Elephas maximus indicus: one gene and its partners. The protein of the gene in region 1 interacts with the protein of each later gene in a biochemical or structural test. Links are inferred from orthologs where the notes say so. Each region holds a gene or a part of one and is shown in the gene's direction. Other genes may lie near its edges.

Region 1 (7,802 bases):
TACAAGCATCATATATGCTGGTTTGGGTGCTGTATATTAAGAATATCCTCAAAATTTCATGATTTCAAAATTAACCATCATGCCGTGAACAAACAAAAAATCTAGGGGGGGCTCATGAACCTAAATAAAATATGAAGACCACCTGCCTATAGGCTTTAGAGAGGATACCAGAAACTGGGTGATGAAAATCTATATTTACATAAAATGCTTTTAAATTAAAACTTTTTATTACAAAAAGAATATATGGTAACTGAAAAAAATTAGAAAATATAGATAAGAAAATGTCAATTACAGATATGTTTAGCAAACAAATATATTTAGATTGCAGATCACAAATACATTTAGATTTCAAGCTATCTGGGATACATTAGAACATAAATGCAGGATGTTAAATATTAACATATAGATAATTAAAAAAAAATTGACTATAAACCAACCATCTAAAGATTATCACTGTTAGCATTTTGCTGTTAGGTACGTCCTCCCAGTTTTTTTCTGTGACTGCCTCTATTTGGTAGGGAAGGCTTTGTGAAGGTACTGAGGTATTAGAGAGAAAGGAGGGGCACCAACCAGGCAGACCCCACAGGGGAGCTCCAGGTGGAAGCTGCGGTCTGTGAGGAGAACCAGGGTCAAGGCATCTCCTGTTTGAACACAGCCCTCCTGCAGGGAGACTCCCACTTGCCTGAGAAAAACAACTCCAAACCATAATTTTGTAGGGGTTCCACTGACCAAATGAGATCACGTGGATAAAGGGAATGAATTGGAGAAAACAAATCAAAGGAGACATTAGAGGAGACCATGTGCGTTAGAGAATCTGTAAATGACACTTATACTTGAGGGATATGTCAGAGGGACAAGAAGGAAAGTTAGTTTATCTGGAGGGGAAGTAAGAATTAGAGATAAAGACTTGAGGAGAGGTCTGAAGACCATGAGATTGGAGTGCAGCTCAGAGCCTGGGAATGTGGGTGGAGATTGGAATGGTGTGGGGCAGGATTCCAGTAGACCAAGGTGGTGGACTAAGAGGTGCAAAACAAAAATTAAAAAAACAGCTAGTACTTATTGATTGGGCTGAACTCACCCAGCCACAAACAGGAAGGGCTTTCATTTTTCTCCCATCCCTATCTTCAGTGATGGTACAAGTCTTCAGTGATGGCCCTGGTTAGACATAGGGTAGATCCTATAGCTTTAGACTCTCTTTTGGTTGTAAGAAAGATATTATTTAGATAGTTGTGGCTCATATTCAGTTATTAAAAATCTAGTCCAGATATAAAACTTTCATGTCACCTGCAGCTAGGGATGACTCATAATTAGAGGGCTTCCAGTTGAAAGGGATTGTTTCCTCTTCTTGAAGCCGTCATCTAATAGGTTCTTGTCAGGCCAACTAGTGAATTGAAGTCAGCCAGACACAGGGTTGGAAGAATAGAAAGGTTTAGTCACAGTTTGCAAACTGGGAGACAAGCAGGGTCTCGTGACCTAAGGCTGCCAGCTCCCTGAACCAGGGCAGATTTGCTCCTTTTATAGGGAGTAACATACGTACATGAACAGTGAGGGGAGGATCTTCAGTCTTTCGATGCATTCACAGTACGCATAATTTTAGTGAATGGGTTTTTGTGCAGGGCTCTAAAAATACTGCACACGGCCCTAAAAAAATGGCGATGGCTCACTGCTGTCACCCAGGAAGGTCAAATAGTGGGTAGATTCAGAGTCAGTGCACCTGTGCCTAGGCCTCCTGCCAGGAGAAGACAAGAAACCTGGGGATCAGACCAATCATGGTGAAGTGCTGTAAAAGTTGTAACAAAAATGTAGCAACAGTAGATTTTTCTGAAAAATAACTACTACGGGATGGTTAATAACCCTTGATAACTCTTTCATGACTGCCTGCTTCATTCTTGGTCTTTCACCCGCCATTCATTCAGTGGCTTTGGTTCTGAATTGGAGCAGTAATGAGGCAAAAGTCTTTCTGCTCTGATGCCCATCTCCCTGGAACTGAACAGGCGGCTCTGCCCTCTGTAACCAGGAAGGTGGCAGCCCAGCCCTCCAAACCTGTGCTGGCAGCCCTGCTGGCCTCTGAATTGCTCTGGGGATCATCTTTTCCTTTTCTTGAAGGGCAACAAATGTTTGCAGCCAAGCAGCACCATCAGCCCATTTCCTGCCTGTAGCATTCCAGGAGTTGGACAGTTTTACTTCTTTTCATCCTGTCTTTAGCCCCTTCAGTCTAAGCCGGTGACATTTCTATTAAGAAGGCTGATTGAATCCTAATATATATATATAATTTTTTTTTTTTCCTAAAGCTGGAAGACTGATTTGGGCTTTGGGAGGCCTTAGTTCCAGCTTAGGCGGCATGGCATTTGTTAAATACTGCTAGACTGGTGACTGAGCAGAGCGGAGAGGGGGCTGGGTGAGAGGAAAATAGCAGTTCTCTGCTGTGAAAATCCTGGAGGGGAAGAGGTTATTTTGATCCCTCTGGGTAGGTTGATGCTGCACTTTTGCAGGTCCAGCGTCATTTCCCTCTGGCTCTGGAGGCTTGTACTGACTGTCACTGCCTGGTCTCTCCCGACATGGGGAAATGCGTCCAGAGTGCTGCTAGCCTCAGCTCAAGTGCTCTGGCCAACAGGCCTGTAGGGTGCCAGCTACCTCACTACTGCCACTTTGCTACTTCTGAACGGTCTCTCTCTCTCCCCCCTGCCGCTCAGTTTGATTCCTCAACTTTGTCTTTGATGATCAGGGCTCCTAGATTGTCATATATAATCAATTCACTTGCTTTTTCCAAGCCTTTATTGTAAGAGAGACCACAGGAAGCTTCTTGAGTATTCTGCCATCTTGGGCCACCTCCCTGGATCCTAATATTAAGTGACATTCCTAATGTCTTTAGCAAACAGTTGTCCAGCCATACTCTTCTTCTCTCCAGAGCACATTCTCTCAATTTTTACAATATGGACAGGCTGAGAATTTTCCAGCTCTTCAAGTTTTTGTTCCTTTTTGTATAGTTCAATCCTTGATTTATCTCTTTCACTTTCATTTTACTATAAACAGGAAGAAGAAACCAGGCCATGCTGTCAAAATTTTGCTTAGGAATCTTCTCAGCTAAATATCCAAGCTCATCACTTCTGAGCTCTGCTTTCCACAAAACATTTGAATATAATTCAGTCAAGTAGTTTGCCACTTTAGAATAAGGATTGCCTTTCCTCCAGCATCCAATAACATGTTCATCATTTCCTTTTAAGCCCTCATCAGAAACACATTTAATATCCACATTTCTAGTAACATTCTGTTCATGATGATATTTGTATTCACTAAGATGATAGGGGGAGTCCCTGGGTGATGCAAATGCTTAAGTTTTTGACTACTAGCTGAAAAGTTGGCAGTTAAAAGCCACCCAGCGACGCCTCAGAAAACAGGCCCGGTGATCTGTTTCCGAAAGGTCACAGCCTTGAAAACCCTACAGAGCAGTTCTACTCTGCACACATGGTATCACTATGAGTTGGAATCAACTTGATGGCAACTAACAACAACAGCAAGGAGATGATAGAGGATGTCTCTACAGCTCTCCCCAATTTTTTCTGAGCTCTCACCGGGATCACCTTTAATGTTCCTAATTCTACCAACAGTCTCTTCAAGGCAATCTAGTCTTTTGCTATTAAGTACTTCAAGGCTCTTCCGGCTTCTACATATTACCTAATTTCAAAGCCATTTCCACATTTTAGTATTTGTAGCAACACCACCCCACTTCCTGGTATTAAACTCTGTGTTAGTTTCCTAGGGCTGCTGTAACAAAGTACCACAAACTGGGTGACTTATAAGAACAGAAATCTATTGTCTCACAGTTTTGGAGGCTAAAAGTCCAAATCAGGGTATCAACTGTGTTGATTCCTTCTGATGGCTCTGAGAGAGAAGCTGTTTCATGTCTCTGTCCTAGATGGAGGCTGCTCAGGATGCTGGGGCAGCATCAGGAAAAATCAGGATATAATTCCTGGGGTTTGGAGTTAGCCACTAACTAGCAGGTTTTCATGGTATTGCTATGTTTTCACTTAGAGTTTACTGGAAAAAATCAAGTGCTAGCTGAGGACATCGATATTACGATGTTGTCTATATCTTTTTTTTTTTTTTTCTATATCTAGCCCTCTACAGGTGAAGAGGCACTTTTAGACACCTCATTTTATCCTTGCAACTATAAGATGTGTCCCTGCCCTCTGAAAGCTTACATTCTGTTTTGAGAAAGACAACAGGCGGTTTCAAAAAGTGAGTTTTTTTTTTTCCTCTTTCTAATTTTAACATCAAAGAAAACATTTCATCTGAGTTGTGACATGAGGGCAGAGGGTTTCTGTGTTTTGTTCACCAGGGTCAGAGCCCCAGGGCCCAGATCAAAGGTGCTCAATAAATATTTATTGAAAGAATAAAGTTTTCATGATGAAGACATAAAAATCTGTAAATTCCTTGAACATGGAAAGAAAGTGTTCTTAGTTACCACCCAGCCCAACTCTCTCATTTTGGGATGTGGAAATGAGGGCCCAAAGGCAAAATGACCCATCCAAAAGCACAGAGCTAGAGCCACAGCTCAGACAACGAGGCTCCCTGCCCAGTGCTCTCTCCACTACACACTCAGCCTCTCTTGCAGGTCTAGAAGCCTGCTCAGGGGCCAGCCCTCCTGGTGTAGTCTCTGTGACTCAGGAGGTTTCATCAACCAGGAAATGTAGCTGGGCTGTGCCTTCCTTCAGGTCTTCAGTTTGAGTTTTACTCTTGTTTTCAACACACGGCCTACTGAAGAGAGTCCTGAAGAAGCCTCTGCCACAGTGAGGGCCCCAGGATTTGCCTCTTTGGTAAGATCGCTGGGCTTTTTGGGAGGAAGGCCTTTGATTCTAGAGTTTTCTAGGCTGCCGAGGGTGGAATCTGGTGGTCTTGGGGCCATGGAGGTGATCCGTTTGAGTGGGTACGAGGAAATCATGGGAGTTATCTGTAGGGAATCAGTTGTAAAATGGAGGTGATACTAACAATTTCTTCATAGACTTGCAGTAAAATGATACAAGAAAAAAATATTTTTATGTTTATATGATGATATAATTATATGGATATATGTTATAAATGTTTACGTATCATGTAAATATATATTTATATATAAATACTTTTGGATATAAATATATGAAATATAAGTATTCTAAAACATATATTTTATAATATAAATATATTTATACAGATTTATCACTTAACAGATATATAATATATATGCATTATATGGCAAAATATTTAAGTTTGTGTATGTTTATATATGAATATATGTACACATAAAATTATATGTTAATAAGATGGGAAAGAAAACCCTTAAAATGTGATCAAAGGAATTACTTATGAAGGGTAAGTTTGTAAGTAGTTTTTATTTTCTTCTTCAAACTTCCTTGTGCTTTCTCTAAGGACTGTTAACTTTACTATTTTTTATGATTAGAAAAATACAACTGTAAATGTTCTTTTGAAAATATTAACCTGACAAAGTTTCTAGCCCATGAGCTCATGCAGTGACTCTAAAAACCCAGGACCGATAAAATAAAAGCCTCCTCACAGCTTTTTTTTTTTTTAATTAACTTATACCCTATAGGATCTCTATTTTAAGAAAATCAGCCCCCTTTCTCTCATATATATTGCCTTTTTCCCCCAGTGTGCAGGGTATTTATTCCTTTAGTTTGTTTAGGGCAGTTTTTAACCAAATATTTTAGTAATTATTTATGAAAATTTATCAATCTTTTCTTTAATGGCTTCCAGATTTTGTGTTATACTTAGAAATATTTTCACAACTGAAAAATTATTTTTAAAAATTCTCCCCATTTTTTCGTCAGTGCTTTAATTTTATGGTTTAAGTCTTTGATTCAGCTGCAATTTATTTTGAAACAGATAGTCAGGATCTATTTCAGTTTTTTTCCAGAAGTCATTCTAACACCATGGGTTGAAAAAGCCACCTAAATGTAGATAGTTCTTTTTGTAGTGTTTTGATTTGATCATTTTTCGTTGTTAATTTCTAATTTAATTGCTTTGTAGCCAGAGAGTATGTCCATTTATTCCCAGGAAAGGACACCTGGATGCCTTCATCTCCTTGTTACCATAAATAACAATGCGGTGAACATCCTCAGACATCTGTGCCCTGCGGACTCATGTAAGAATTTACCTTGGAGATATACCCAGGAGTGGAAACCTGTGTCAAAATTTATGTGCCAACTTGAGTTGACAAGCCCTGTCATCTTGCTTTCCAGAAGGGCTATACCAGCGTAAGCTCTACAGAGTACATCGGACTGCTCTTTTCCCTACAGTCCCATTACTTTCCATTTTTCTACACTTCCCAATGTGAAAAGTTAAAGGAAAGTCTTATTTTTGTCTTAATTTGCATTTTTCTGCTGCTTATTAGTTTGAGCATTTCTTTGTATACTTTTAGCAATATGAGTTTTCCCTTCTGATGATTTGGTTATATTTTTATGTCTTTTGCCAAGAGTTTTTTTACTTTTGATTTTGTTTTGTTGTTGTTACTGGTTTTCGGCAGAACATTGAATGGTCTAGATATTTGTGCCACCTTCCTCCCGCTTTTTAAAAATATTTAGCATGTATTGGGAAACAGACATGAAAGACACAATCTCTGCCCACATGAAGCTCATAGGCTAGGCCAAAGCCAGACGGATCACAAAACAGCAGAACAGGTGTTGGAATAGGGGCATCCCAGGATGTCGAAGGAGCTAACCAGGATAGGGAAGTTAGGGAACACTTTCTGGAGGTGAAGTACAAGTAAAAGTTAACCTATAGTAGCTTTTTACAAATCCGTAGGTAAGTACAATGATAGTTTTAGCTTTTTAAATTTTTAATTATTTATTTTCGTAGTTGTTGAGAATATACACAGCAGAACCTACAACAGTTCAACAATTTCTACATGTACAATTCCATGACTTTGATTCTATTTCTCAAGTTGTGCAACCATTGTCATCCTTCTTTTCTGAATTATTCCTCCTCCGTTAATATAAACTCGCTGCCTCCTAAGTTTCCTATCTAATCTTTCCAGTTGTTTTTGCCAATTTGATCCCATATAGTTTTGTTGTTGTTGTTATTTATCTATTATACTTTAGATGAAGGTTTACAGAACAAACTAGCTTCTCATTAAGCATTTAGTACACATAGTGTTTTATGCCATTGGTTAACAACCCCACGACGTGTCAGCACTCTCCCTTCTTGACCTTGGGTTCCCTATTACCAGTTTTCCTGTCCCCTCTAGTCCTCAGCCTTCTCATCCTTGTCCCTGGGCTGTTGTGCCCTTTTAGTCTCATTTTGTTTTGTAGGCCTGCCTAATCTTTGGATGAGGGGTGAACCTCAGGAGTGATTTCATTATTGAGTTTCAAAGGATGTCTGGGGGCCATACTCTTGGGGTTTCTCCAGTCTCTGTCAGGCCAGTAAGTCTGGTGTTTTTTTTGTGAGTTAGGATTTTGTTCCACATTATTCTCCAGCTCTGTCTGGGACCCTCTATTTTGATCCCTGTCAGGGTAGTCAGTGGTGGTAGCCAGGTACATCTAGTTGTACTGGATTCAGTCTGGTGGAGGCTGTGGTAGTTGTGGTCCATTAGTCATTTGGACTAATCTTTCCCTTGTGTCCTTAGTTTTCTTCATTCTCCATTGCTCCTGAAGGGGTAAGACCAGTGGAGTATCTTAGATGGGCACTCATAGGCTTTTAAGACCCCAGATGCTACTCACCAAAGTAGAGTGTAGAACATCTTCTTTATAAACTATGTTATGCCAACTGAGCTAGATGTTCCCCAAGACCATGGTCCCCACAGCTCTCAG
Region 2 (7,112 bases), on another chromosome or scaffold:
AGACCGGCAACAGATGGTGCAGTGGGCTTCCCTGCTCACGGAGCAAGAAAGCTGAGTGCCTTTGGGCAGGAGGCTTGCTGAAGTAGGGTGCCTCTGGGCACTTGGTAGAGTTAGGTTTGCTGACGCATGGAACTAAAGCTGAGTGCCTTCCAGCCAAGGCTCATTGGTGGAGTTGGTTGCCTTTGAGCACTTATTGGCAAAGCTAAAAGAGCTTTGTAACACTTGCCCAAGCAGGGCAGAGGCTGAGGGACCACAGAGAAGCATGCCTGTGGGCACGGCTGGGAAGAGGCTATCCTGATGGAAAAACTATATCCTGGGCATCCCTGAACCTGAATTGTAACCTGTTACTTCCCTTATAAACTCCATAATCATGAGTATTGTCTGTGAGTTCTGTGCAACTATTGCAATGAATTATCAAACCCAGCAGAGAAGTAGAGAGTGCCATGGGAAGGGCAGTTGGTATTAGAATTAGTAAAGATGGTGGAGAGAGGAGACATGTCTGGCCTTTGTCTCATAGGTATCAGCTTTGACTTTGATTCTCCTTCCCTTTGTAATTTAGAGGTCAGATGCTGCACCCCCTCCACGCCATTTTTACCTGGCCCACCAAGGTGACTGGACAGTTACTGCTTAAGTAAATAAAGTATATGGAACCTGTGATGGTTAAGGTTATGTGTGAACTTGGCTGGGCCATGATTTTTAGTGGTTCAGCAGTTGTGTAATGATATAATTTGGCAGTTACGTAATGATGTAGTTATCCTCCATTTTGTGGTCTGAAGTAGCTACCCTCTTCTGATGTAATCTGTGATCTGATGTAATTATCCTCCATTTCGTAATATGTTATAAATCCTAGCCTCTATGCCTGTGGCTATGGTCCCATTTGGGAGTCAGCTGCCCATTATGTTAATGAGGCAGTATTAGGGTGGGATGTATCTTGAGTCACTGCCTTACTAGAGGGTGTGACTCAAGTCACACCCTTGTACCACCATGCTAAGGGGAGTTTCCTTGAGGGTATGGTCTGGATCCAATATATATATGAATGGCTAAACTTTCTCTCTTGCTCTGGATCCTGCATCTGGCTTGTCATCATCTGACCTCTGGTTCTTGGACTTGAGCCAGCAGCCTATCATCTGACCTGATTTGCCAGGTCTTGTGAGCAAGCAGCTTATTGTCTGACCTGCTGATTTGGGTTCATAGGCCCCTGCAGCCATGTGAGTCAGGAGAAGCCAACAGCCTGATAGCTTATCCACAGATTTGGGAACTGCCAGCCTCTACAACCGTGTGGACCATTTCCTTGATGGTTCATGAGTTCTGTGAGACATTGCAGTGAATTGTGGAACTCAAAGACAGGAGGGACTGTACCAAGAGGAGGAGTATAGTCAACGTTACAGATGATGGAGTGGTACAGCAGTTTGGAAAAGTTGGACATTTGGGACATCTTTAACCTCCGCTTCACATAGGAGCCAGCTTTGTGCTGATCCTTACAAAAGAAATTATTCATTCACATCCTTTTGCAAAAACTCTTCATCCTTTGAATCTTATGCCATCTGGCTCTTTAGCTCTCATACTTACTGAGGACTGCACCTATTAAACAGCCTCTCTTTGTGCCAACTCTTCTGTCATCCAGGGTTGTTTTAGAAGAATCTATGCGACACCTAGTTCTTGACCTCCTCAGCTTCAACTCATACTCCTACTTTCAATTCCTTAACTTCACAATTTCTGGCAATGCAGGTTTTTCTCGGTGGCTATAGTAAGGAATGGGAAGAGGGTAGCATTCTTCAGTGTGGAAAGACTGGTGGTGCCAGAGCAGGCTGCTGCTCACTTCAGGATTCAGTGGGAGACTGGGACTGGCAGCCATGACACAAAAGGGTGGAATAGCACAGTAGCTGGATTGTCTTGTGACACTTGGAGAAAAGTCCACGATCTGGATTTGACCTTTGTGCTGAGCTTCCCTGATGTTCAGTAAACCTAAGTCCAGACGTAAAAGTTCCTTTCTTGTTACCTGCCTTTCTAGGAATATCTGACACTTTTGACAACTTCTACCTTCTTGTAACACAATCTTACTTCTGACTCTATAATTATCTCCCAGTTTTTGTTCTTCCTCATTGGCTGTTGCATTTCAAAGGTCCTCCAAGTGCCTTAAATGTTACAATCCCCGAAAGCACTCTTCTTAACCCTCTGCTCTTCTCTGTAGAGCCTGTCCAAATCTATGGCTTCAGTTACCACAGAAATATTGATGATTCAGAATTTTGGCCTAGACATCACTGGAGTTTTTAAAAAATACTTTTCTATAAAAGAAATACATCGACACAATAAAACAAATTTCAGGACAGTACAGATGGACCTAAAATAAAGAAAAAGTATAGTTTCATGCCGCCTAAGGCCCACTTTGTAATTTTTCAATGTGTATGTAAACATGCCACATTTACTTTACAGCAATTGCTTTTCTTTACATTTAATATTTTTTTCTCATAAGTTTTAAATCTGTATATTCAACTGCCTCTTTTGGACATCTCCACCTGGGTGTCCCACAGGCACCTAAAATGCCTTCCCTCTCTTGGAATTCCTCCTCACTCTACAATCCTATCGCTAGCCTCCTTACAGTCAGCAGCTTAAAAAAATTGTCTTCATATATTATGCCTTTCCAGCCACTCAAGTAACCTCAACCTCCTTTCCACCCTACCATATCTCTGAAACAACTTTCTCCAAAATTACCAAACGTTGCAAACTCCAATGGACACATTTTAGCCCATATCTTACCTGATCTGTTACATTTTAACCAGCTTCCTTGATACTTCCCTCCTGGTTTTCCTTTCTATTTGCCCCTTCTCAGTGCCCTCTTTTCAGCGTCTTTCTCTAACTCATATATCAAATGCAGGTATTCCTCCTTCTAGACCGTCTTATCTACTCCCATGGCTTCAACTGTCATCCACACACACACAGAAACACCCCAAATCTCTTTTGGGTCCTAAACCCACGTTATCTAAGATTCAACTGTCTAATGGATATCTCTTTTGGATGTCCCACAGGCACCTCAAACTCCACATGTGCAAAAAGTGACTCTTTTCCCCAAAACAAACAAACAAAAAATGGCATTATTCTCAGTTTTTCAATCCAGAACACTGGGAATCATCTTGAGCTCCTCCCTCTGCCTCATACTCCCCAAATCCAATCTATTTCTCCCCATTCGCACTACGCCTTCTCTAGGTCAGACCACTGTCATCTCCCGCCTGGATAGGAACTTCCCAATTGTTCTCCTTGCTCCTAACATCACCCCAAACAAGACAACCAACTATGTTTCTAAAATGCAAACATAATTGTTCACATTTTTGCGGAGTTCCTTCAGACTCTTCATTGCCCTTAGAAAGAAGTCAATTAATTTACAAATCCTTGCGTGATCTGCCCCTGCCTATCTAACAGGTTTCATTTATTACCTTTCTTTTAGCCATACCAGGCTGCTGGCAGCTCCAGAACGTACCCAGCCTCCCAATTCCCAATAGTCCTTCAGGATTCAGCTCAGGCGACACCTCCTTTGGAAACAGAGAGCTCAAAAGACAAACGCTGAAAGAATGAAATCTGAGACCGGATACGAGCAGCCCTTTCAACACCGGGCCCAGGTTTACGGAATGTCCGGGTTACCAGGAAGTTCAACACAAAGGTCAAATCCAGATCTTGAACCTCCCCCGAAAGATCGCGGGTCAACCCGACCCCCGAGCTATTCCATCCTTTTGAGTCACGGCTGCCAGTCCCAGTCTCTCAATGAGTCCTGAAGTCAACAGCAGCCTGCTCTGGCGCCACCAATCTTTCCACACTTAAGAATGGTACCCTCTTCCCATTCCTTGCTACGGCCCTGAAGCCGTCAAGAAAAGCCTGCGTTGCCAGCTTGCCCCAAAGCAAGATGGCTGCCATTCTCTATTCTCTCCTCCCAAAGTGAAGCTCTCCACTCCCCGTTTAATGCCGCTGCCAGGCTGCCCTCACCTAGTATGGCTACCCCGGCTCATTTCTCACTATGGTCTCGAAGCCGCCACTAACCGGCCAGGTTCCGGGCGGCGCTGTTCAGGATGCAGCCACCCCCGCCCGTCTCTCCCCTCCCCCACGCCCGCGGCGGCGGCGGCGGCGGCTGGAGCCCGGATGCGGCGCCGTGAGCCAGGCCCGGGAGAGCGGCGCGGATGAATCCAACATGGCGGCGCCGAGCCTGAGCCGAGAGTGAGGCGACGGGGCGGCCGGAGTGGGGAGGGGGAGTCGAGCGGGACGGGGCGGGGCCGGGCGGGGCCGCAAAGGGCTTGGGGAAGGAAAGTGGAGGGGGAGGCGGTGGCGACGTCCAGCCTGAGAACCTCAAGAGGAGGAGGTGACGGGACGCTGCGAGGTGGGGGAGGGGAGCAGCCGAGGGGGGCGTGCGGGGGAGATGGCAACTGTGGGAGAGGGCAGGGGTCGAAGTGGAGGAGTGGGGACGTGAAGAGGGGCGTAAACAAGGGCCGAGGCTGGGCCGGGCTAGGGGTATAAGAGAGGCCGAGGTGGGGAGTGGGGCTGCGATCCGGATGGATTGAGGGGGGTAGGAGCGGAGGGGAGAGGCTGAGGGTGAGAAGGGGAAGGGGGCTTGTGGCATGTGGTTGGAAGGTGGACAGGACTCGTGTGTGTGGGGGGGTGTTGTGTAGAGGTGGAAAAGGTGAGAATGGGACCTCAGACGTTTGGGGGAAGGTTTTGAAAGTGTTAAATTGGGGGGAGGGGAAGGGTTTAGGGCAGAATTTGGGTAGAAAGGAAGAGAACAGAGGTTTGGGGAATGCAGAGTGTCGGTGTGACGAGGTAATGGAGAAAGTGAGGGACTGGGAGGAAAGTTTGGAAGGAAGAGGAATGGGATGGGAGACAGGACAGTGGAGCTCTACGGGTGACAGAGGTTCAGGGGTTTCCCTTTCCCCTGTGGAAAAGAAAGGACGGAGTTAAGCAGCATCACTTGTAGCCAATTCTAATTGCCAGGCCTTTAGCTTTTAATAGGGTGGGAAGGCAGAAGGAAATGGTCATGTGAGTTTGGAAAATTGGGCTTGGATGAGGGTTCAATTGGATTTGCTTACCAGAGGCTCCCTAGTTTATTGCTCCCTTGTTTTTCCTGGTTACGAAGAAAAGGGGGGGGGGGAATGGGGAAGCTGGTGTCGACAGTATGGAAGAAGTAAAGGACTTTTCTAGTTTTAGCAGTTAGTAAGTAAGAATGGGGAAACAGCTATGACTCTGTTGGAGGCTCTTTAAGGCTGAAGAGGGGAACAGAAGAGGCAGGATGGCATCCAGGCTAATTCAATGAGTGATTTAGTTTCCAGACCCTTCTTTTACTGTTAAAGTGCTAGGAGGGAGGGGTCAGTGTGCACATATAAAGTTTTCTGGTGAAATGTGGATGTATCAGTGGATGCCGCCCAGTGGATATTTTGTTCTCCCTGTGTGGTACGTAAAAACCAAAACCAAACTCACTGCCGTCGAGTCGATTCCGACTCGTAGCGACCCTATGGGACGGAGTGGAACTGCCCCATAGAGTTTCCAAGGAGCGCCTGGCGGATTCAAACTGCCGACCTTTTGGTTAGCAGCTGTAGCATTTAACCACTACGCCACCAGGGTTTCTGTGTGGTACGTAAGGGGAGGGGCAAATTTGGAAGATAATTCTTGGCCTGATGGGAAGAAAGTGACTTCTTTGGCTGTAGCCACCTTCCTCCTAGTTCTCTCTGAGGAAGATGAAAGTAAACATTAACATTGTAACAAGATAGATGGATATTATAAGGAATCCGGGGGAAGGTGAGAAGGGTTCAGAAAGTAATTGGTTTTTCCAGAAGTTGTTGAATTTGGGACCTTTCTTGCCACATGCCATTAAGAATGGAAATTCTTGAAGCTGGTATTGTTTTATGAAGGTTAGTAGAGAGTTAGGGAAGCCTGGTGTGTTTTTTTTTTTTTTTTTTTTTTGATGTGAGTTCTCTCATTTAGCTTAAAGTAGATCATTTCAGTAGAAATGGCTTTAGGCTTGTCTGTATTTTTGCAGCTGAGATTGACTAACTTTTTGGGGCTTTGAGGTTTCAAAGCAAAGCTTGAAAATTGACTTTTTCCCCCTCCCTTATTTTATTTATTTATTTTTTTGCTGCTGGATTTGAACCTTGTGCTAGGAAGAGGCCTGGGAAATTAAGTTTCTTGCAGAGGTAAGTCTGGAACTTTTTATTGTTTTCAGACAATGGAAGGGAAAGGAAATGGCATGAGAAATGCAGTGGGGTTGAGCCCAGGAATGGGGTAGGCTCCAGGCAAAATGAATTTTCACCTACCCAGCTGAGTGCATAAAGCACAGAGAAGATCTGTTACAGTTACTGTCTTCTTAGGTAACTGGAGATAGGTGGAAAGGAGAGGGGAAATGAGGTGTCTTGGGGCAAACCTCCAGCTTTGGTTTGTTATTATCTTAATCTTGGTCAGCTCTGGGAGAAACATTTTTAACATATGGAACATTGTACGCCAGTACAATGTCTGCTAACTGTTGCCTTTGGAGTGTTGCTGGGGCACCTTCCATGGGAAAGTTTTGCCTTTAGTTTACTCTTTGTTCTAGTTGTTAAGAGTTCCTGGAATCTTTCTTTTGAAAACATAATATGGAATTCTGACTCTCAGATATTTGGTTACGTTTTCCTAGTCCCACCAGCAAGAAAGCTCTTTATTCTTAACCATCTATAAGATTTTCTATGTTGTTTTTAAAAATCACCCTTTTTTAGTTCTTCCATATGAATTTGCTCTGAAGGCTTCTGAGAGAGCCAAATACCTATTAGTTCTCCCATAAACATACAAATATCATCCCTGGTTGGGGTGAGACTAGGCTTTGCTTGCAAGTGGAACCTTTAGAGAACAGCCAATCAAGAGGAAATTCTGTAGATACATATAGACTGTCAGGTGGCCCTTGGCTGACTTGGACCTCCCTAAAGAAAAAAAACAAAAACTATAACTCTCAGGAAATAAAGCAGTTCATCAGAGTCAATAATTTTTCTTGGAAAACTCTAGAGAGGGACCCACATGTTAGGATCTCAAATGGAACCAGATGAGCCTGCAGGATCAGGACTCTGTTTATTGGAGTGTTAGTCTCTTGGTACCTGGCAGTGTTTCAGACA
Region 3 (7,946 bases), on another chromosome or scaffold:
AAGGAGGAGGGGAGCTATCGATTAACCTAAGCCTCTTTTCAATGATGCGTGGTGACGTTTGAACAGTAACTGCTAAAGACTAAAAGGAGAACGTATACCTTTCAGATCAGTAGAGAGACAAAATGAAAATAAAGAAACCTGAACGGCTAAGACAAGAGGCAGGTCAGGCTTCCCCCTCCCGCAAGGCCTTCTGGCCAAATCACTTCCCTTTGCAACCTACGGATGGAGAATCAAAGGCACACTAGTGGATGCTGCTCTACTCTCTGTCTCCCCGCGTTCAAGTGGCAGCAGGTTCAAGGGCAGGGACATGTGAACGAGGGTGCACGTGGGTGGTGAAGGGACACCCTGAAGTGCAGTCCCTGGGCATGGCTATGAGCAGCGCTATGAAGGCGAGGCACACGCAGGGGGAAGGACACTGAGGAGCTGACTGGAGGACTAGCCCGTGGCCCAGGGTCTGGCTCTCACCTGACTCCGAGTAGCCAGTGGCGGTAATGATGGGTACAGCCACCATGAGCAGGCCTGAGGCGCTCCATACATACTTCATGAGGAACTGCTCCAGCATGACGTACCACAGGCGCTCCAGCAGGATGAGGTTGATCTGTGAGGCCAGGTCCTGGTAGGAGTGCCGCAGCAGGGCCAGCTCTACCTGCGGGCCACCAGAGAGCCAGCGGCCTGGTGAGAATGGCCGGGCTGGGCGACAACCCAGAGGACCCAGAGCACTGCTCACACAGGCCACACCACTCAATGGTCTGACAAGGCTTACAACAGGGCTGTGTTTACAGAGGACGGGTCTGAAACCAGCGGCAGGGGCTTGCCCAAGTTTCTAGCACTGGGGCACAGCAGCAGTGACAAAGGAACTCACCCTGACTGGGGCTGGGGCGCTCAACGCTCCCTTCTTTGCTCTGGGCAGCTTCTAGCCTCTGTGGAGCCCATACTCTGGGCAATCATTTGGGGGCCTCCGTCCCAACACCCTCCTCCTGGCCCTGGTTCCCAGGCACGGAGACCGAAAGCAGTGGCACTGGTAGCACCTTGGTTTTGAGAACACTGAGCCCAGTCTCTCCCTCCCTAGGCACTGCCCTGCCAGTCTACTTTTCCAAAGTTCCTTGTAGTGAGAACTTATACTGCATTTTCCCACAGAAACCACGAGGGCGCGCTTCACAGCCAGTCCCTCTGGCCTTGCTCCATGTTGGACTGCCCCAAGCCCACAGCCCTCTGCCTCAGGCCAGCTTCCGGCTCCAGCCCGCTGGCTCCACAGTGGTGTGGAGCCTCCCCTCCCATTCCTCCATTGGCTACCACCTGCCATATCAGGGTGGGGACAGGGTGGGGGGGAGGGGCCTTGGTGGATGGGTCCTGCAGGGCCCAAAAAAGAGAGAGGGTGGAGAGAGGAAGAGGGTTCCTTGTGGCAGCAGCAGACCAACAGACTGTGGAGACATGGAGGTCTCCAGAAGTGGTGACGGCAAAGGGGGCCATTGGGTTGTGGACTTCTTGGCTCAGTACAGGGACCCTCTGGACGCCCAGCCTGGCCTTTCCACACCCAACCGACTGCCCAGACTGGCTCCTTTTGCCAAGTGCTTTCGCACTAGGCTCTCCATTTGATTCTCGCACCGCCTCATCGAATGTGCTCATTGTACAGTAGGCCAATGAAGCCCAGAGAGGCAAAGTGCCCTGCCCAAGGTCACACAGCATGGAGGTAGCAAGCACTGCTGGAATTTGAATCACGCTGCCAAAGCCCTTGAAAACCCTGGTGGCATAGTAGTTAAGAGCTACATGAACCAAAAGGTCGGCAGTTTGAATTGACCAGGTGCTCCTCGGTCACTATGAGTTGGCAATGGGTTTGGTTCTTGGTTGCCAGAGTCCTTAGGAGAATAAGATTCTTTTAATTGTTCCCAAGTAAATAAGAGGGTGTGTGTGTGTGGAAATGACCCCTCCATGGGAATTCCAATAAAAACAGAATGCTCTGCTATAGAGCCCTCCACTAGCCAGCCAGTCGCTTTTGCCCTACCTGGAGATCTGAGCCTGGGCCAGTGTCCGTGGGGACATCAGCCAGTGAGGTTGGGGTGCGACATATGTCTGCACAGCCAGCGCATTCAGCCCACCCTGTGGCCCGTCACCCCCTCCTCTCCCTCCCCCACCCAGCTCCTCATCCACCCAGGCAAGCAGACCTCCTGGGTGGCCTCTATGTATTGAAGCTGGCCAAGGGGAAGTCCTTCAAATGTCTCTCCTGCCTACCCCCACCCAGGGCCTCGGGCCAAGTCTCCCGTTCCTGAAACGAGCCCGCATCGAGCCCGCATCTTCCGAGCACCCTGGCAATCTGGACTTGCACTGTGAGCTGGCAAGTGTGCCAGCCAGAGCTGATAATGTAGCCACGGGGAATGTGCCAAGCACCTCACCCAAGGCCACAGCTGCCTGCCAAGGCGCTGCCAGCCTGCATGCAGGAGAGGAGGATCGGGCAGAGGGGATCACAGCCCAGTGTTGGGCACTTGTTCCCCTGATCAGCAGCCAGCTCCTGGCCCAGGACGCCCCTCCCTGCGGAGAAGGTTGACGACAGGCCGTTTTGGTCCAGGAGAAGTCTGCTCCTGTGCCCAGTGCAAAGCCACCAAGACAAGGTCGGGGTCCTGGGAACACATGCAGGCCTTCAGGGAGCAGAGGCCATCGTGCCCCTCCCCCCAGGAGAACCGAAACCAGAGTCGCAGGGAGCAGGGCCTGAGGCAGCTGCAACCCCAGGCACGAGGAAGGGGAGGGGCGAGGCGAGATAAAGGGAGTGCTGGCCGGGAGTAACCTTGCTGCGCCCCCCCTCAGGCTGGCCGCCCAGGAAGCTGTGCCTGGGGGCCGGGCGGAAGGGCGGTCACGCTGGGGCAGGCTGGCAGGAAGTGCGTCCCGCTGCAGCGACGGCCGGGCCAGTGGGCCCTTGGGGGCGGCTGTGACCCTAAGCGCTGCGACTGCCACGCTGGGCGCTGCTTGTTAATCTCCGCGTGGGCTGAGTCATGCCCATAATGCCCAGCTGCCAGACGCGGGCCCTAGGCCGGCCTTCAAAGGGCCGAAGGGCTGGCCAGGAGGCCGTGCATCCACTCGTCCCGCTCCCAGTGGTCTGCTGGAGTGCGCAAGGTGGGAGCTCTGAATCCGAACCGCTAGGATCCACAGCCCAAGGCCAGCGGTGCTGCCCAGGAGGGAGGAAGCAGAAGTGGCCTGGAGTGTGCAGGCGGCTGGGACCAGGCAACCCCCACCAGTCTTCCTGCTTCTCCATTTCTGCAGCCCAGGGCCCTGTCTGTTCTCAGCCCCCTCTTGCATCCACGCTGTGCCCCCACCCCAGGCCTTCCTCATGCCTCCCAGCGCCCCAACCTGCCCCACCTCGTGGCCCCCGTAGAAAGCGATCTCCTCCGAGTTGGCCACCACACGAGAGTGCATGTAGCGCAGCTCCCCCTTCCTCCGCGCCTCCTCTGCCACTAGCTCCCCGAACTTGGGTGAGAAGGCCCGCAGCACGTTGGCGGTGAGGAATACCACGAGGCCAGCAATGGCCGAGGGCCAGGCTGTGCCAGCTCCGCGGGAGCGGGCTGCCCGAAGCAGGGTGTAGGAGGTCACAGCCACGTCCAGGAGCGGCTTGGTCAGGTTGGAGTAGAGGTGAGCCACAGAGGCAGCAAAGGCTACCAAGTCCTCTGTCAGGGACTGGTCAGGGTTGCGAAGGCGCCCGTCCATGTTGCTGACTCGGTAGTAGGTCTGCTGGGAGAAATAGAGGCTGTAGGCGTGGGCCACCAGACGGCTGCGGAAGGACAGGGCCAGCTGGCCCTCCAGGTAGCGGATGGCACTGTTGATGAAAGTGGCAGGTAGGGCGATGAGGAGCCACTGGAGGAGCTGCCAGCCGAAGGCCCGTGGGTCCTTGCGGACGATGCAGCGGGCCAAACGTCCATCCAGGCGGGCCACATAGACCGACAGGAAAGTCCGGCTCACCAGGGCAGCCGAGTGCAGCGCCAGGAGCCCGGTCTCCCGGCACAGGACCCGGGGAAAGAGCAGGCGCAGGAGCCACAGGAGTCGTTGCAGGAACACCCGGTTCACGCTGGCCTTGGCTGCTGTGGCTGCTGCCCCGGAGGCCTCCTGCGCGGGCTCCCCTGCTGGCCCTGGAGGGCCCCTTGCTGGACCCAGGCACTGCCGCACCAGGGGGTAGATTTTGTGGGCTCCATAGGCGGTGAGGGCCAGGACCACGGCTGTGCGCTTCAGCGTGGTCACCCTCGAAGGCCGGGGGGTGGAGAGCACCGGCATGTCACCTGGTTGGCACCCGCTGGGCTGGGACTAGTGCCTGAGACTGCAGTCCAGGCAGGTGGCTGGAAGGGTCCTTGCTCTGACCCCGGGCTCGTTGTCTAGGCAACTGGAGGCCTTGCACTGGTCACTGAAATTGTTGCTTTAGGCAACTGAGGCGCTGCTGGGGCCCCTGGTGCGGTGGGCTCAGGGCCCTCCAGTGTCTTGGCCTCTTCAGGCAGCTGAGCAGGAAGACCTTAGCTCCCCTCTGTGTCAGTCTCCTAGCCCTTGGTGTCAGAGCTTTGAAAGGTTGAGGGCAGGGAGGACTTCTCTTCCCCTCCACCTCCTCCTACCCAAGTGGAGCCCCCGCCCGGGGTACCAGGCGCGTACGTCCGCTCCACAGCCTGGCTGAAGCGACAGTGACTCCGCCACTGGCCCATAATCCCCACCCACCCACCCCTCCCCAGGGGCGAGTCAGGGAAGGGGAGGAGGCGGAGGAGGAGCGGGAGGCGGAGCCCGGGCGCAGGGCTCCGCACCCCGTTCTCGCCCCACGGGAAGGCCCCGCCTCCTCCCCGCCTCCTCCCCGCCACAGAGACCTGGAGGGCCACGCGGACTGGAGGAGCGGCCTTCGCCTTCCCGCCAAGGCCCCGCCCCGCTCCGCGCGCGCCGCGAAACCGCGTTGCCTCGGGGCCGCCGGCTGCCCGCCCCGCCCGGGCCTCGGCGCCCTGCCCTCAGCTGGGGGGGTGGTGGGCAGTGGCCGTGGGGGGAGCCGCCCGGGCCTCGCCACGGTTGGTGGGCGGGCTGGGAAGGGCGTGGCCGGCGGGGCCACTTCCGGCTTCCGGCCGCGGGGGAAGGGGCGGGACTTGCGGCTGTGGAGGGAGGGTTCGGCGGCGGCTGCGGCGGCAGCGCGTGCGTCGTGGCTGAGGTGAAATTCGGCCAGCGGCCTGCGCGCTGGTGTGTGCGCTGAGGTCCTCAGGCACCTCGACGGGTGCAGCGGGGCTGGTAGCTAGCGGAGAGAGGCCCGGGGGCCGGGGCTGCGGGGCGCGTCGCGAGCCAGGGCGTAGAGCCTGCGGGCCAGGCTAAGGGAGTCGGGGCGGCGGGGCGGCGGGGCGGCGGGGCGGCGGGGCGGCGTCCGCGGGCGGAGCCCGGCTCAGGGCGCGGGCGGGCGGCGGCGAGCCCTCGTGAGGAGCCGTCACGGTGGGAAGTGGAGCCGCGAGTGGGTTGAGGCGCCGAGTCGGCGGAGAGAGCTTGCGGCCCGGGCCATGGCGGAGCCCCTGGGGTAGCGCGGCCCAAGTGGAAAGGTTTCTGAGCTTGCGGTGGGCAAGAGCAGAGCTACCGTAGTTTGCCAGGGAGGGCACCTCTGGCTTTCTAGAAGAGTGATCCTTCTCGAACTTTCTCTGCATGGGGCCCTGAGGTGCTTAGTGGAGACCTGAGTTTTCCCTTGGCCCTGGCTTCTGCCCTCTAGGAGTCGCTCTTGTGGGCTTTTCTGAGGCACCGCGAGTCATCCAGGCCCGCTCGGAGGCCGCAGCGGCAGTTGCAAGGCTGTTTTCGCCCTGGCCTTCTCAGTGGCCGCTGGTGCAGCCCCACAGGGAGGGCTGCTGCTTTTCTCTAGGCCCTCTTGGGAGGGCTGGGGGATAGGGCCTCCAGACTGCCCCCGGGGGTGGGGGCCGCCACGCAGCTTTGAGAGGAAGTGCTGTTCCTGGAACACTGCAGTGCCGGAGCTGCAGCAGAGCTCCTCTTGGCTGGGAAAGGAGCGTGCCCGACGGCCGTCTGAGCAGCTCTGCTGTTTTGTGTAATGCTTTTTATTGAAAGTGCTTTTGCAGTCGAACATGCATAAGGAGTCTCTTGGACTCCCCAGAGAAAGGGGCCCATTTGGCGAACAGTCATCAAGAAAGGTGGCACTGGACATGTTAGAACACATACTAGAGGGCAGCAGTGACTTTATTCCAGCCAGTGGAAGTTTGTTAGGCTCTGGAACAGTATTGGCCAAGTCGCCCTGCTGAGCTGAGCTGTGTCCCAGCCAGTGCTTCAAAGACTCCGAAGTAGGGCGCTAGGGTACAGGTTAAAGAATGGCTGTCCCAGTCTCTCAGGGACCTTGAACTGGCTGTCACTGGCTACCCAACTCTCATGCTTCTCTTGTTCCTTCTCTGCCCTGTCAGGAAAGTGCTTACTTCATTGGAAACCATCTAGCTGCAGAGGATGAGTCTGCAGTGGGTCGCAGTTGCCACCTTCCTCTATGCAGAGGTCTTTGCTGTGTTGCTTCTCTGCATTCCCTTCATTTCTCCGAAAAGGTATGGCCTGTGGAGCAAGCAAGCGAGCAGGAGGGTGACTGGCGGTCTGTTGCCGAGGCTGGTAGCTTATGTGTACAGAATTGGTGGGCCCTGGAATTGGGACCGGGCAGGAACAGGTAGAAATTGTCTGGGGTTGGGGTGGCAGAGGTTATGCTTAGTACTGCCAACCTTCTACCGTGTTGCTGTTCTGCTTTGTCACATTTGGCTGAGTTCCTTTCCTGTGCGTCCTGCCTTCTGGTCTTCAGAGTGCCCCGAAGAAGACCGTCTATCTCTAGTTATGGTTCTGGGAATCATGCCCTCCTTTCTACCCTTAGGTCCCTGGGGTGCTGGGGATGGCAGTGTGGGATCCTGAAGAGTTGTACCACTGGATCACATTGCTGCTGAGTTGGTGACTTCTGTCCTCCTAATTAGTCTCACTAGCATTGCCTCATGAGGATTACTCAGCCTGTGAAGGGTGAAGCCATGTTCTGTTTTAATGGACGGAGGACCTGTTAAGAGTTGATTTGGAATGAATTTTTAATTACACGTGGTACAGAAACACATCCTTACTAAAATTAAGAAGTTACAAATAAGACTAAGTCTCTCCAGGTTCTTAAAAAAAAAAACGTTACATTGCAAGGCACAGACTCCCGACCTGATAAAATAGGAAGTATACGGCTCCACCAAAGACCAAACCTAAACTGTTCATCCCTCGTAGAGTTCAGAGGAAATGCAGCAGACAGAAAAACCCCTTGGAGCTGGATCTGGGAAACTTTATAAGACGAATGACCTGGTTTCTTCGAAGAATAAATGGCAGAGGGAAAGGGAAACTTCTAGAATAGAGATTTAAGATACCATCTACATGTAGGACTGGAACTTTGTCGGGTTCTGAGTCAAACCAACTCTTTAAAAGACTGCCCAAATTAGAAATTTGAACTCTGGCTTTGGTATTGAGAAATTACTGCTAATTTTCTTTATGTCTGGTAACAGTGTTGTGATTATATTAAATATTTTTAAAGGGTCTTGTGTTTTAGAGGTCTGTACTGAAACATCTGTGGATGAAAATGATAGGTCACCTGGGATTTGTTTCATAATTTAGAGTACAGACGAAACAACATCAGTCAAGATCAGTTTAAAGAAATGATACGTGTGCGTGGTGGGAATTTTGAATACCACAAAAGGGAAGGTGGGAAAATTAAGTTTCCTACCTCAGAGATTACCATTTTTTAAGAATGTGGTTTTTGAGTAATTTCTACACATGGACAAGCATCTTTATATTTTGTTAATCCTTCTGACCGGATGTCATAAACTGGACAACAGCAGCTGAGGCTGACTGATTTTTGGCTGTTAGGGAAGAATGCACAGCCAGATTTCTGCTCTGTTCAGGGCCCAGGGTCCAGTGTGTCTTTCTCTTCAACCCCAGTCCATTTTGTCTTTTTCACAGAT

The links. The genes of interacting proteins can lie anywhere in the genome.
Region 2: the proteins of caspase-8-like (region 1) and DEDD form a complex in vitro, tested with the Homo sapiens proteins (2 studies listed by BioGRID). The link is inferred for Elephas maximus indicus from reciprocal best matches to the Homo sapiens genes CASP8 and DEDD.
Region 3: of the proteins of caspase-8-like (region 1) and BCAP31, one has a biochemical effect on the other in vitro, tested with the Homo sapiens proteins (2 studies listed by BioGRID, with this or other methods). The link is inferred for Elephas maximus indicus from reciprocal best matches to the Homo sapiens genes CASP8 and BCAP31.

The regions. Positions count from the first base shown.
Region 1 is NC_064824.1:100,030,260-100,038,061, forward strand, and holds the start of caspase-8-like, read left to right. Parts: upstream 1-4,799; 5' UTR 4,800-4,817; intron 4,818-7,802. UniProt on the Homo sapiens protein: Thiol protease that plays a key role in programmed cell death by acting as a molecular switch for apoptosis, necroptosis and pyroptosis, and is required to prevent tissue damage during embryonic development and adulthood.
Region 2 is NC_064821.1:199,942,055-199,949,166, reverse strand, and holds the start of DEDD (death effector domain-containing protein), read left to right. Parts: upstream 1-4,108; 5' UTR 4,109-4,203; intron 4,204-4,287; exon of another isoform or gene 4,288-4,363; intron 4,364-6,134; 5' UTR 6,135-6,167; intron 6,168-7,112. UniProt on the Homo sapiens protein: A scaffold protein that directs CASP3 to certain substrates and facilitates their ordered degradation during apoptosis. May also play a role in mediating CASP3 cleavage of KRT18. Regulates degradation of intermediate filaments during apoptosis.
Region 3 is NC_064846.1:2,631,924-2,639,869, forward strand, and holds the start of BCAP31 (B-cell receptor-associated protein 31), read left to right. Parts: upstream 1-4,942; 5' UTR 4,943-5,018; intron 5,019-5,077; exon of another isoform or gene 5,078-5,232; intron 5,233-5,543; exon of another isoform or gene 5,544-6,022; intron 6,023-6,389; 5' UTR 6,390-6,429; coding exon 6,430-6,521; intron 6,522-7,944; coding exon 7,945-7,946. Other genes in the region: ABCD1 (ATP-binding cassette sub-family D member 1), read right to left, coding at 466-646, 3,349-4,254. UniProt on the Homo sapiens protein: Functions as a chaperone protein. Is one of the most abundant endoplasmic reticulum (ER) proteins.